Drosophila melanogaster: one gene and its partner. The protein of the gene in region 1 binds, or shares a complex with, the protein of each later gene. Each region holds a gene or a part of one and is shown in the gene's direction. Other genes may lie near its edges.

Region 1 (6,007 bases):
TGCCGCTTGCTCTCTAGCACCGCCATCCTTCGCTCACTTGAAGGCGGAAGATACTTCGAAAGGAGTCGCCAGCTGACAGCGCGCATCTGGAGTTCGGTTTAATTAGAATTACACAACGAAATATTTGTTCGATTCTCACCTTCCGAGGCACGCCAGACCAGCTGATCTTCTTGAGGGCCACCAAGTCCAGTTGAGGCGAGTCTAGCACCACTTGGAATTTTTCAATTTTCGTCTCGTACTCGCTGTCCTGGCAATTCGAGCTGATCTTCTGCAATTGCGGTCTGCCCGGGTAGTTCCTCAATCTAGATCTGAAATGGCAATATATATTACTAACCGTTGAAGTCTTGATTACTTTCGGTCTTAGTTCCGCGTCTCCCGACATTGCTCTGTGGGAATAGCTGGGAGTGGCTATCAGTTAAGAAAGTGAAATGCTTCAGGAGCGGTTGCCAAGTTGGTGTTAATACTCGTTAAAACGTGGCGAATGGCAATAATAAGTTAGGAGCGCCCCAATGATTAACAACATATATAGGTAATTTTAACCTAATTACATAGTAATATTGTATATTGTATATTGTAAAGTACCGTTTCAAAATTTGAATCTATTGTAAGTATTTCAACTCCCATATGACGGAATTCTTCATATCTTTAGTTTCTACTTTGATAATAAACACGTTAATGCTTTTTAAATAGCACCTAGGAAATAATTCAGAAAGCGGGTTCGATCCGCTCTACACCCCTGACTTATTTGCACAACTGCAGGCATTGGGTTCAACTTTCTTTTTGACTTCCCAGTTGAGTTGGCGCCGCTCACCTGTTTTCATTACTGTCCGGCAGAGATCTACGGTCTTCCTTGCAGTCGTCCGTCGAGCTACTGCTGACTGGGACCAAATCTGCGCCACTTTCGTTTGCTGACCGGGATGCATTATGGTTCTGGTTGCTTCGAGAGTGCGTCTCGATCACGTTGAGAGCCACCGTCTGCGACACTTGCCGGGAGAAATGAGCCGCATCTGTTGGGGGATCAAAACGAGATCAGAGGTTGAGGAAAACCATCGGGGTTGCGGAACCCACCGCCAGCTCCAACGGCCGCGGCAGCCGCCTCCGTGCTGCTGATGATGCAGAACTCGTCGTCACCCATGTCCCAGGCATCGCTCACCGACTTCTGGTACTCGGTGAAGGTGGACACCATGCCAGATCCGGGGGCAGCGCCGCGACCGACCGCTACCCCAACTGCCGCCGCCTTCTCGAGCTCCCGCTTGGGACTGGGTCGTCCGGGCACTCGACGTCCGCTGTTTTTCCAAAAGGTCGAGGAGTTTGCGCCGGGCGTTGGTCCGGCTCCACTTGCCACGGTTACTACTGCTACACCTGCTCCTGCTGTTCCTGTTGCTGCTGCTGTGGACTCGGCTGTTTCAGTTTGGCTCTTTCCTGCTAATTGCTCTACATTGTTATCCATCATACGTTCCCTAGAGCCGATTCTATGTCAGCGTCATTATATTATTTTGCATCAAAAACAGTGTGACCATGGCAACTATTTACGGCTTTCACCGCACGACACTTCTTGGTAGTGATGAGAGCGTATCGTGATCAAGTGACTGGTGCGAAACCGAACCATATTGATACCCATTACTTGTGGAGAAGAGTGAACCTAGTATAGTTCCGACGAGTCGATCAAGAGATATAAATGATTAAAAATGAAAACTCGTAATTCAAGACATTTTTCTATGCAAAAGCTTTTAGAAATATGGAAAAAAGGTATGTAATTAAAAAATATTTAATAAAGACCGTAATCTTTGAGGTATAAACATAACGAAAATGTTTTGTACAGAGTTCTTCTTTCTGCAATATTAAGTAGTATAATTAGGTAATTTTAATTAATGGTAGTAATGGTATTACTTATTAGCAAAGAATAAAAGGGAAACTATGCACCGTTATATGTTTCGATGCGTGACTTTGACCGCTCACCTGGCAACCCTGGCGAATGCGCTTTGGATTTCGACTGCAAACGTACACGGCCACTCAATACAAAACAAGTGTCTTTCGGTGTGATAAGAACCAGAACCCGCAATCAACGATTTCATTATTCGGTGGATCAATTGCAAGCTCCAAAACTATGCCATAAGGGGCAGTCGCCATTTAAGCAGTCAGTGTGGAAACAGCAAGATGCAAAAGCAAGAAGAGACGCTGTCGCGCCTGCGAACGATATTCGACATATTTTTACGCGAGAACTTTTCCACTACGAACAATGTTTACTTTGAGAAGCTCCTCACGCACTTGCAGGCCAAGGGTGAGTTTACCAATCGGAGTGGCCCCGCAATCTGCCCTTAAATCCTCAAATGAATCCCATCTGTCCGCAGAGAATGCCTTTGTGCTGCAGGCCCCATTCGTGGTGGAATGGGTGGACAGGTGCATCACGGCGGTGACCGAGGACTTCAAAAAGATCCACCCGAAGGTGATATCCTTCATGCTGAATCTGACCAGTTTTCTGGCGAACAACGAGTGGATGATCGTGCGCCTAAGAGAGCTTGATATAGTAAACAGGTAAATGGTAGGATAGAAAACCAGGCTCTAATCTCTTAAAATAATCGACTACCATTTTAGAGCAGTGAAACTACTACAGAGGGAACACAACTTAAGCCCATCGATTAAGTTAGGTGGCATACGTCTGATGAAAGCCATCACCGTGTATAGCATGGGGCTGGCCTTTCTGCGGATGCACCGGATCTGGACGCTGCTCATCCAGTATTCCAACAACGATCACACGCTGTACGTGGTGCGGGAGGCCCGCCAAGTGCTTTACAACATGGTGTACAAGTCCTGCGACAAGCTGCACGATAAGGCTGTTACCCTGGAGATTCTGTCGGAGATTATGCAGCCGATTCACGACAATCTTTATAAGAACACCGACGGCGTGGAGCGCATCCACGTCAAGGTGGACGACAACGAGATGTTGCACAAGATCTCGTCGACACTGGATCTACTGTCCTACATACTACAGCAGACGCTGGTGCTCGAGGAGCGCACCACTCTGATCATCCTGCTCAAGGAGCATCACGACTTCGAGATTACCGTTTGGAAGCTGATCGATATGACCCACAACCCGTACTTTACTGAGAAGATCTTCACCACACTGAGCAGCTACAACTTTGCCCTGCTGTTGCACGAAAAGTTGCTGAATCCGAACGCCACCGAGCCGTCGGAGGAGTTCACCGAGTTCGGGTTGGCATTCTTTAATCTCATGAAATTCCTTATTACCCGCAAGGACGGCTTGAGTTTTGTGAAGTTGGCGGAGCTCAATCATGTACTTTGGAAAAAACTTGGACCTCGTGCGCCCAAGGAAATTGTCATCCAACAAGAGCGCGTTACGTTTGAAAACCAGCTAATCTGCTTTCACATGCTGCCGTTGCTCTTCTCCATGAAGTACGCACAGAAGATCGCCGACGAGGAGAGCAAGATAGAGCTCTTCGACGCCTATGTTGTCAAGTTGCTGGAGATCTCCTGCGAACAGACCTTGCGGCTCTGCTACACAATGCGGGACAACTTCTTTTCTGCAGACGGCATGGCTGTTGGCTTGGTGACGGCCGGCCTGGCAAACAAGTGCATACATAGCCTGTTGGCCCTGGAAAACGTTCTCGATCGAGAGCAGGCGGTTACTGTGTGCCAAGCTTTGCTATATGTGCTCCGCGAGGCAGTGGCCATGAGTGTCATCACAAATAATGGGGAGGATGACTGTCACAGCGTGAGCAGCGCGGGCAGCTCCTACCTAAAATTGTACCCCCGGGGCACCGAACAGGTCGTTAACGATCCACAAGTTTTGCATTCCGTAATGGTGGGTTTGCGCACCTTGATCGAACGCTTTAAGATCACGTGGAAGGAGTCGGTGGAGACCATTGGCCTGGTCAATTGTCTGGCATTTGTCCTGGAGAACACAAGCATGGATGCTAGGGTAAGCAAAACAAACTCTCATTTCTAGCGGGTTAAAATAGTAAAATGTGATTCTTCATTTGCAGTGCACTGTCCAAGCGCTGAAGCTCGTCCAACTCGCTGTGGAGCATTTCCTTTCACCGAACATGGCTCTTTTGGTGGACAACTTGCAGGGCTCCGCGCTGGTCTGTCTGGGTCCCATTATTGTGAAGCGAATGCACGACACAATGTGGGAGGTGCGTGACACAACGCTGGAGCTTACCACCTCTATAGCCAGTATCTCCCGCATCAGTAAGCGTGTGATTATCTTAACGTAGTGCCTAACATTAATGATACGTTGCTTCTACAGAGTTTCCCGCCTTCCAACGCTTTCTAATCGACTCAAAGATACCCCCGATAGTTTACGAAATGGCCAAGAATGACTCGGAAGTCTATGTAAGAGCGTCTGCCTTCCAGTGTCTTTCCCAAATGGTCTCCATAAACCTTTTGTGGGAGAATGGTCTAAGCCAGCTCGATCTTGTAGTGAGTTAATCTATTTACACATATACTCGGAAAAAATTATTAATTAAACACTTTGAATTCTCGACAGGACCATCTTTTGTTTGTAATGTATCGGGAGACCAACGATATCGTGAGATCCGAGGCCGTGATTACGCTGATGAAGATCTACGAGCACCGCAAGATCCACGAGAAGTACAAGAACACCCTCTTCTCAACCCTCAACTATTGTGTAATCGGGGATCATCACACGGAGGTGAAGCTGAATGCTTTAAATTTTTGGCGCCGCGAGTTCTACCGCCAGTTTAGCAATCAGGGCATGATAGATGGCTCTTTTCCCACAGTGACCTTCTCTAAGGAGCAGAAGAAGATTGTCACGCTGACGGAGAAAGAGATCCAAACCAGCATTGCCAAAGTTTTTGGTGAAGTACAGCAGTACGGATATTTTGGCATCCTACTCAAGTGCCTGCGCGAGGAGACTTCAATGGAGGTTTTGGAATTCCTCATTAAAGGCGTCAAGACCATGACGGAGAAGTTCGAGCGCTACAAGGGCATAATGGAGGAGATTGAAATGAGATCGCCGCTCTCAGACAGAGAGCGGCCAAGATTCGACTTCCCGTCCCAGCCGCAGCCAACTCCGATTCCACAGCAGCCACCGGTCAATCCCACCGAGGCGGACGAAGTCATCGAGTCCATATTGAACTCGCAGGATGCACAGCTCCTGGAGAAGGCGTTTGAGACCCAGATGCAGATAAACGCGCAAGGGAAAACAGCGGAGAAGCGGCACATCGATGAGTTCTACTATAAGCAGTTCGCGGTGCCATTGCGGCAGTTCTTTGAGGAGCTCAAGACCATTGACCTGGACCAGTTGGTTAAGCAGCACCAGGAGTGGTTCGAGTGCAAGGAGAACTTTACCTCCCTGCTGGATGACATCCTCGGTGCGCTGAAGCGCGACGATGAGAACATGATTTCGGACTGTTACTAATTCCGAGCTAAGCCGTTTTCCAGTCAAAAAAAACCTCTCTGTGAAGTAAGCTAAAAGTTTTTTCCGTGAAATAGATAATATTTTTGATAACTACGTTTTGAACATAAAATGAGATTTTATTTCGCCGGCGCAGATAAAATAAATAACAATACAGTAACAAAACAATGTTTTAAATGACTAAACATATTTCAAATCAAGACGACCCATATTTAAACGTTTTTGTTCCTTTTTTTAATTTTTGGTGTGCTGGTCACACTGTTCGCGTCGTGTTTGTTTTGGTTTTCTGTTGGTGGTGACACACTTTTAGAGCGATGTGAGCCGAGTTTTTATCGATGCATCCATAAGAGAAACTACTTTTTACTTCTTACAAAAATGTTGTATAAGGTAGATTTGCCAATTTTTAAAACGCAAAAACCCGAAATATAGTAAACTTCGATATTGATAACTTAGCCGATATTATCGTATGGTGTTGGGAATCGATAGTGCCGGCACCGAGCCTTCCCACTATCGACGAGCCCATCGACTGCAGCACATCTTCAGCGCATAGATGCAGCGAAAAGCGGATCGTCTCGCGTTCGAATTTGCACGCACTGCTGCATAAATATT
Region 2 (4,810 bases), 8.6 Mb from region 1:
CGCTGGCTACTTGCGTGGCACGTCGTGAGTTCATTGGATTCTTTTGATTCGAGAAGGAGGAGCGGTGCTCGAAGGGAGGCTCAAAGTGATTGCTGCCGTAGAACAATTTGATAAAGTTCCACAATGTGGTGGCCTGAAAAATGTAGATGCTAAGTTTTGGCAAATTTTGGGAATAATCTCAAGCGCTTACATTATGTTTGCCGTATTTCTTGGAAACCTCTGCATTGTGCTCGCATAACTCCGATAGTTTTTTCCCACTGATAACAAGTTCCCTGGCACAGCCAATAAAACTTTCGTGTTCTTGGGTGGGTCTTGAAACAGATTCGCTTAGGGGATAGCCGGAAAACTGAAATATATCAATTAGTATCAGATTTGGCAAAGAAATCCCTAATAGTGTCATACTAACCGTGTCGTTTACCATGAATTTGTACATTTTGGAATGGTCCAAATGGAACTGAATGCTGCCAGCCACATTCGTCTTACGGCGACTTCTAAAATACACATACATATAAACATACAAGTTGATACAACAAATACGACATACATGAAGCTAGAAGACTTGGTATTGGATGCACCGCTGGTCTTGGGTTCATACTCCTTGATCTTGTTGGCAAAGGAGATGTCCCCAAATCTGCCCAGGCTAGCTCCCTGGGCATTTGCCTTCAGCGCTGGCCTCGTGGCATCCTTAAAAGCATGTTTGTAAATGGTGGAGTCCTTGCTGATGGACAGAAGACAGTGCGAGTCGCTGCCCTGCCACGCAATTCCAGTAGTCACATTGGTGTGCTCGTTGAAGGAGGCAAAGGGGATGTAGGGTCTGCGGATGTCCCACACATGAACGCTGTAGTCCACCACAAGGGCACAACTAGCGATGTGATAACTGGAAAGGATTAAACAGATTTAATATAAATAAGACTGTTAAACCTGGCTAGAAAAACCTACGTTCTTTCTGGTCGCCACTTAACCCGTCCCACTACGGCGATTGTGTGAATGGTGTGCTCCAATCCCGGCCTGCCATCCATGTTCCACACCTTGATCTGCTTGTCCCGACTTCCGGTGGCCAGCCAATTCCTTGTGGGATGCCAGTCGCATGTGTAGACTGGCCCGTAGTGCGCCGTAAACTGCACCATGCACTTGTCCCACTTCCGCATGTCCCACAACTGGACAGTTCCATTCTCGGAGACGGCGGAGAATATGTTTTGTGTGTGTGGACTGAACTTGACATCCCGCACTGATTCCGAGTTGCAGAAGTAGGTGTTGATTGACTTATCCGATCGGATGTCGAAACACTTGATGGTGCCATCCTGAGAACCGGAGATCAGGATGTTGGGCTCGCTGCTGTGAAAGGTCACGGTATGAGCGGTGCGCTCATGTTCGTTGTAGACAAGCAGCTGCTTCTGCCTGCCGAACTTGGAGAGATCCCACACGGAAACCACTCCGTTCGTGGCCGCCGTAGCCAAAAGATTGCTATCCAAGGTGGACCAGGCCACATCGTTGGCGGAGTAGCTAAGATTCTGGTTCTTTCCGCGCATATTACACGATTCCGTGAAGCCATTGCTGTTTATGGAGTACACCTTAAGCACTGTTCGGAAGCAAATTATGTGTATTTATAGAAAGACCTTGGGCAATTCTAATCTTACAGCTTCTTCCGGCCAAAGCAATCTGGTTGTTGTCCTTATTCAGGGCCAGGGCGTTCGCGTGTCCTTCCAGGCATATCCGCAGCGAGATTGTGGAGGTGTCCTCCACGGAATCGGGCATCCTGCAGCAGTTGCAAGTTCGCCCGCAGAAAGCAAAACAGTGATTTGATAAGACAAGACGCTATCTTTTATTTTCCTTTCGGTTCAGTATGACCGTTTCTCGAGCGGCAAACCATTGGCGCGAGTGTTCCCAAATGCAGATGTTGAATATTGTTTGAACAAAAGACTTATTGTACTAAAGTTGTATTATTCACATATAATTAATGTATTCTATACATATACAGACAGAAACATTAATTTCAATTAAGCTATTAAATTCTTTGAAACTTCTTGGAACACTCCAATAAGATCTGCCAGTTGGAGCGCGTCGTTGCCGGACCATCCACACCGACGGAGTGGCAACGCCATTCGTGCGGCCTTGCTGTTTACAAAAATCACGGTCGACTTTTTCGACAATTTCATTTACCAGCGCAACAAGTGGCCGCAAGAAAGCAGGAGAGTGGAGCCGGGTGATCCTGATCCCTTCCAGAAATGCCGGACATCAAGATAACGCCCTTGGGCGCCGGCCAGGATGTGGGCCGCAGCTGTCTGCTGCTCTCGATGGGCGGGAAGAACATAATGCTCGACTGCGGGATGCATATGGGCTACAACGACGAGCGCCGCTTCCCGGACTTCTCCTACATAGTGCCGGAGGGTCCGATCACCAGCCACATTGACTGTGTGATCATCTCGCACTTCCACCTGGGTGAGTCTCGGCCTCCCAAAGGCGCTCTTATCTGGTCAACTGGCTCTAATCGTTTCTTTATCGATTGCATGCATTCCAGATCACTGCGGGGCCTTGCCCTACATGTCAGAGATTGTGGGCTACACGGGGCCCATCTACATGACGCATCCGACCAAGGCCATAGCACCCATCCTCCTGGAGGACATGCGGAAGGTGGCCGTAGAGCGGAAAGGCGAGTCGAACTTCTTTACCACCCAGATGATCAAGGACTGCATGAAGAAGGTGATTCCCGTCACACTTCACCAGAGTATGATGGTGGACACGGACCTTGAGATCAAAGCCTACTATGCAGGCCATGTCCTGGGCGCCGCCATGTTCTGGATCAAGGTGGGCTCCCAGAGCGTTGTCTACACGGGGGACTACAACATGACTCCAGACAGGCATCTGGGAGCCGCCTGGATAGACAAGTGCCGGCCGGACTTGCTGATCTCCGAGAGCACCTACGCCACTACCATTAGGGACTCGAAGCGGTGTCGCGAGAGGGACTTCCTCAAGAAAGTTCACGAGTGCGTGGCTAAGGGCGGCAAGGTTTTAATCCCTGTTTTTGCCCTGGGTCGCGCCCAGGAGCTGTGCATCCTGCTGGAGACGTACTGGGAGCGCATGAACCTCAAGTACCCCATATACTTTGCTCTGGGTCTTACCGAGAAGGCCAATACCTACTACAAAATGTTCATCACCTGGACGAACCAGAAGATCCGCAAGACCTTCGTTCACCGCAACATGTTCGACTTCAAGCACATCAAGCCCTTTGACAAGGCCTACATCGACAATCCTGGCGCGATGGTAGTGTTCGCCACGCCAGGCATGCTGCACGCAGGTCTTTCCCTGCAGATCTTCAAGAAGTGGGCGCCGAATGAGAACAACATGGTGATTATGCCCGGCTACTGTGTGCAGGGAACCGTGGGCAACAAGATTCTCGGTGGCGCCAAGAAGGTGGAGTTCGAGAACCGCCAGGTGGTCGAGGTCAAAATGGCCGTGGAGTACATGAGCTTCTCGGCCCATGCAGATGCCAAAGGTGGCTACAAGCTTAGCACTTTTATGCTGATACTAATTAATTTTCTGTATTGCAGGCATTATGCAGCTAATTCAGAACTGTGAGCCAAAGAACGTCATGCTCGTCCATGGTGAAGCAGGGAAGATGAAGTTCCTGCGCTCGAAGATCAAAGACGAATTCAACCTGGAAACCTACATGCCGGCCAACGGCGAAACCTGTGTGATTTCTACGCCTGTGAAGATACCAGTAGATGCGTCCGTTTCCCTGCTTAAAGCAGAGGCCCGGTCCTACAACGCCCAGCCACCGGATCCCAAGAGGCGGCGACTAATCCATGGCGTCCTCGTAATGAAGGACAATCGAATAATGCTGCAAAACCTAACCGATGCCCTGAAGGAAATCGGAATTAATCGACATGTTATGCGATTTACATCCAAGGTCAAAATGGACGACTCCGGACCGGTCATTCGCACAAGCGAAAGACTGAAGACTCTGCTCGAAGAAAAGCTAGCCGGCTGGACGGTGACGATGCAGGAGAACGGCTCCATAGCCATCGAATCCGTTGAGGTGAAGGTGGAGGAGGACGAGAAGGATCCCAAGCAGAAGAACATTTTGATATCGTGGACCAACCAGGACGAGGACATTGGAGCCTACATACTGAATGTGCTGCAGAATATGTGCTAGGCAACGAAGAAGCATCCCATTGAAATCCCACGCCTTAATTCCATAGATAAGCACAAAGTGTAGATACCACCAATTTCTGAAAGTTTAAAGAGTATCAAAATATACATAAACGTTCCAATAGTTTTTTGGTCATTAGTCATTGCCACTTGAAATTTGAGACTTTATGCACATTAAGTTATATCAATGGGTCTTTGCATAAGAATGCAATCGAATCCCATGATATCAATGTGTAAAAACCAAACAGACCTGTGCAAGTGCTTTCAAATTCCTTGCCTCCCACTCCAATTAGGTAAGGACTCCATGGTTAAAGTTATTTTCGTTCGTTCCACGCTATTTATTCTGGGGTTTTTCTGAAAGAGTAACATTACTAGGGCTCCAGGCGTAGCTCCAGGTGCCTGGCACCATATGCAATTAGCTGTATGAATCGTTAGAGCTGTTCGAACACATTCCATTCGCTTATGTGAGGGCGGCGGCACCGGAGATGATTTCAATCAGCTCGCGAGTGATGACCGCCTGTCGGGTACGGTTGAAGGTGAGGGTCAGCTTGTCGATCATCTCACCGGCGTTCTTGGAAGCGTTGTCCATGGCAGTCATACGGGAGGACTGCTCCGAGCAGGCGCCCTCCTTCATGGTGTAGAAGATGAGCGAGGCCAGCGA

Evidence for each region.
Region 2: the proteins of CG7044 (region 1) and IntS11 are in contact, whole or in part, in a cryo-EM structure (PDB 8UIC), measured with the Drosophila melanogaster proteins. Residues at the interface, in NP_650940.2 of Drosophila melanogaster: Thr26 (codon at 2,233), Asn27 (codon at 2,236), Asn28 (codon at 2,239), Val29 (codon at 2,242), Tyr30 (codon at 2,245), Glu32 (codon at 2,251), Lys33 (codon at 2,254), Thr36 (codon at 2,263), Pro116 (codon at 2,633), His156 (codon at 2,753), Thr157 (codon at 2,756), Leu158 (codon at 2,759), Tyr159 (codon at 2,762), Arg162 (codon at 2,771), His438 (codon at 3,599), Leu441 (codon at 3,608), Glu444 (codon at 3,617), Asn445 (codon at 3,620), Gln506 (codon at 3,803), His509 (codon at 3,812), Val513 (codon at 3,824), Arg551 (codon at 3,938), Val554 (codon at 4,011), Lys558 (codon at 4,023), Trp600 (codon at 4,149), Glu601 (codon at 4,152), Asp604 (codon at 4,161), Thr605 (codon at 4,164), Tyr648 (codon at 4,351), Ser652 (codon at 4,363); in NP_651721.1 of Drosophila melanogaster: Leu9 (codon at 2,250), Gln13 (codon at 2,262), Val15 (codon at 2,268), Gly16 (codon at 2,271), Met35 (codon at 2,328), His36 (codon at 2,331), Met37 (codon at 2,334), Tyr39 (codon at 2,340), Asp41 (codon at 2,346), Arg43 (codon at 2,352), Asp47 (codon at 2,364), Ser49 (codon at 2,370), Tyr50 (codon at 2,373), Pro53 (codon at 2,382), Pro56 (codon at 2,391), Ile57 (codon at 2,394), Ser59 (codon at 2,400), His68 (codon at 2,427), His70 (codon at 2,433), Asp72 (codon at 2,439), His73 (codon at 2,521), Thr87 (codon at 2,563), Gly88 (codon at 2,566), Pro89 (codon at 2,569), Lys97 (codon at 2,593), Pro101 (codon at 2,605), Glu105 (codon at 2,617), Arg108 (codon at 2,626), Lys109 (codon at 2,629), Val112 (codon at 2,638).

What each region holds. Positions count from the first base shown.
Region 1 is NT_033777.3:21,097,723-21,103,729, reverse strand, and holds CG7044 (uncharacterized protein), read left to right. Parts: upstream 1-2,011; 5' UTR 2,012-2,157; coding exon 2,158-2,281; intron 2,282-2,351; coding exon 2,352-2,535; intron 2,536-2,595; coding exon 2,596-3,940; intron 3,941-4,004; coding exon 4,005-4,209; intron 4,210-4,267; coding exon 4,268-4,440; intron 4,441-4,507; coding exon 4,508-5,401; 3' UTR 5,402-5,501; downstream 5,502-6,007. Other genes in the region: Tbc1d22 (TBC1 domain family member 22), read right to left, coding at 1-86, 140-308, 812-1,007, 1,069-1,453.
Region 2 is NT_033777.3:29,743,245-29,748,054, forward strand, and holds IntS11 (integrator 11), read left to right. Parts: upstream 1-2,092; 5' UTR 2,093-2,225; coding exon 2,226-2,439; exon of another isoform or gene 2,440-2,518; coding exon 2,519-3,493; intron 3,494-3,548; coding exon 3,549-4,153; 3' UTR 4,154-4,269; downstream 4,270-4,810. Other genes in the region: Wdr24 (WD repeat domain 24), read right to left, coding at 1-133, 191-346, 407-491, 545-877, 940-1,579, 1,638-1,755; ATPsyngamma (ATP synthase, gamma subunit), read right to left, coding at 4,610-4,810. UniProt on the Drosophila melanogaster protein: RNA endonuclease component of the integrator complex, a multiprotein complex that terminates RNA polymerase II (Pol II) transcription in the promoter-proximal region of genes.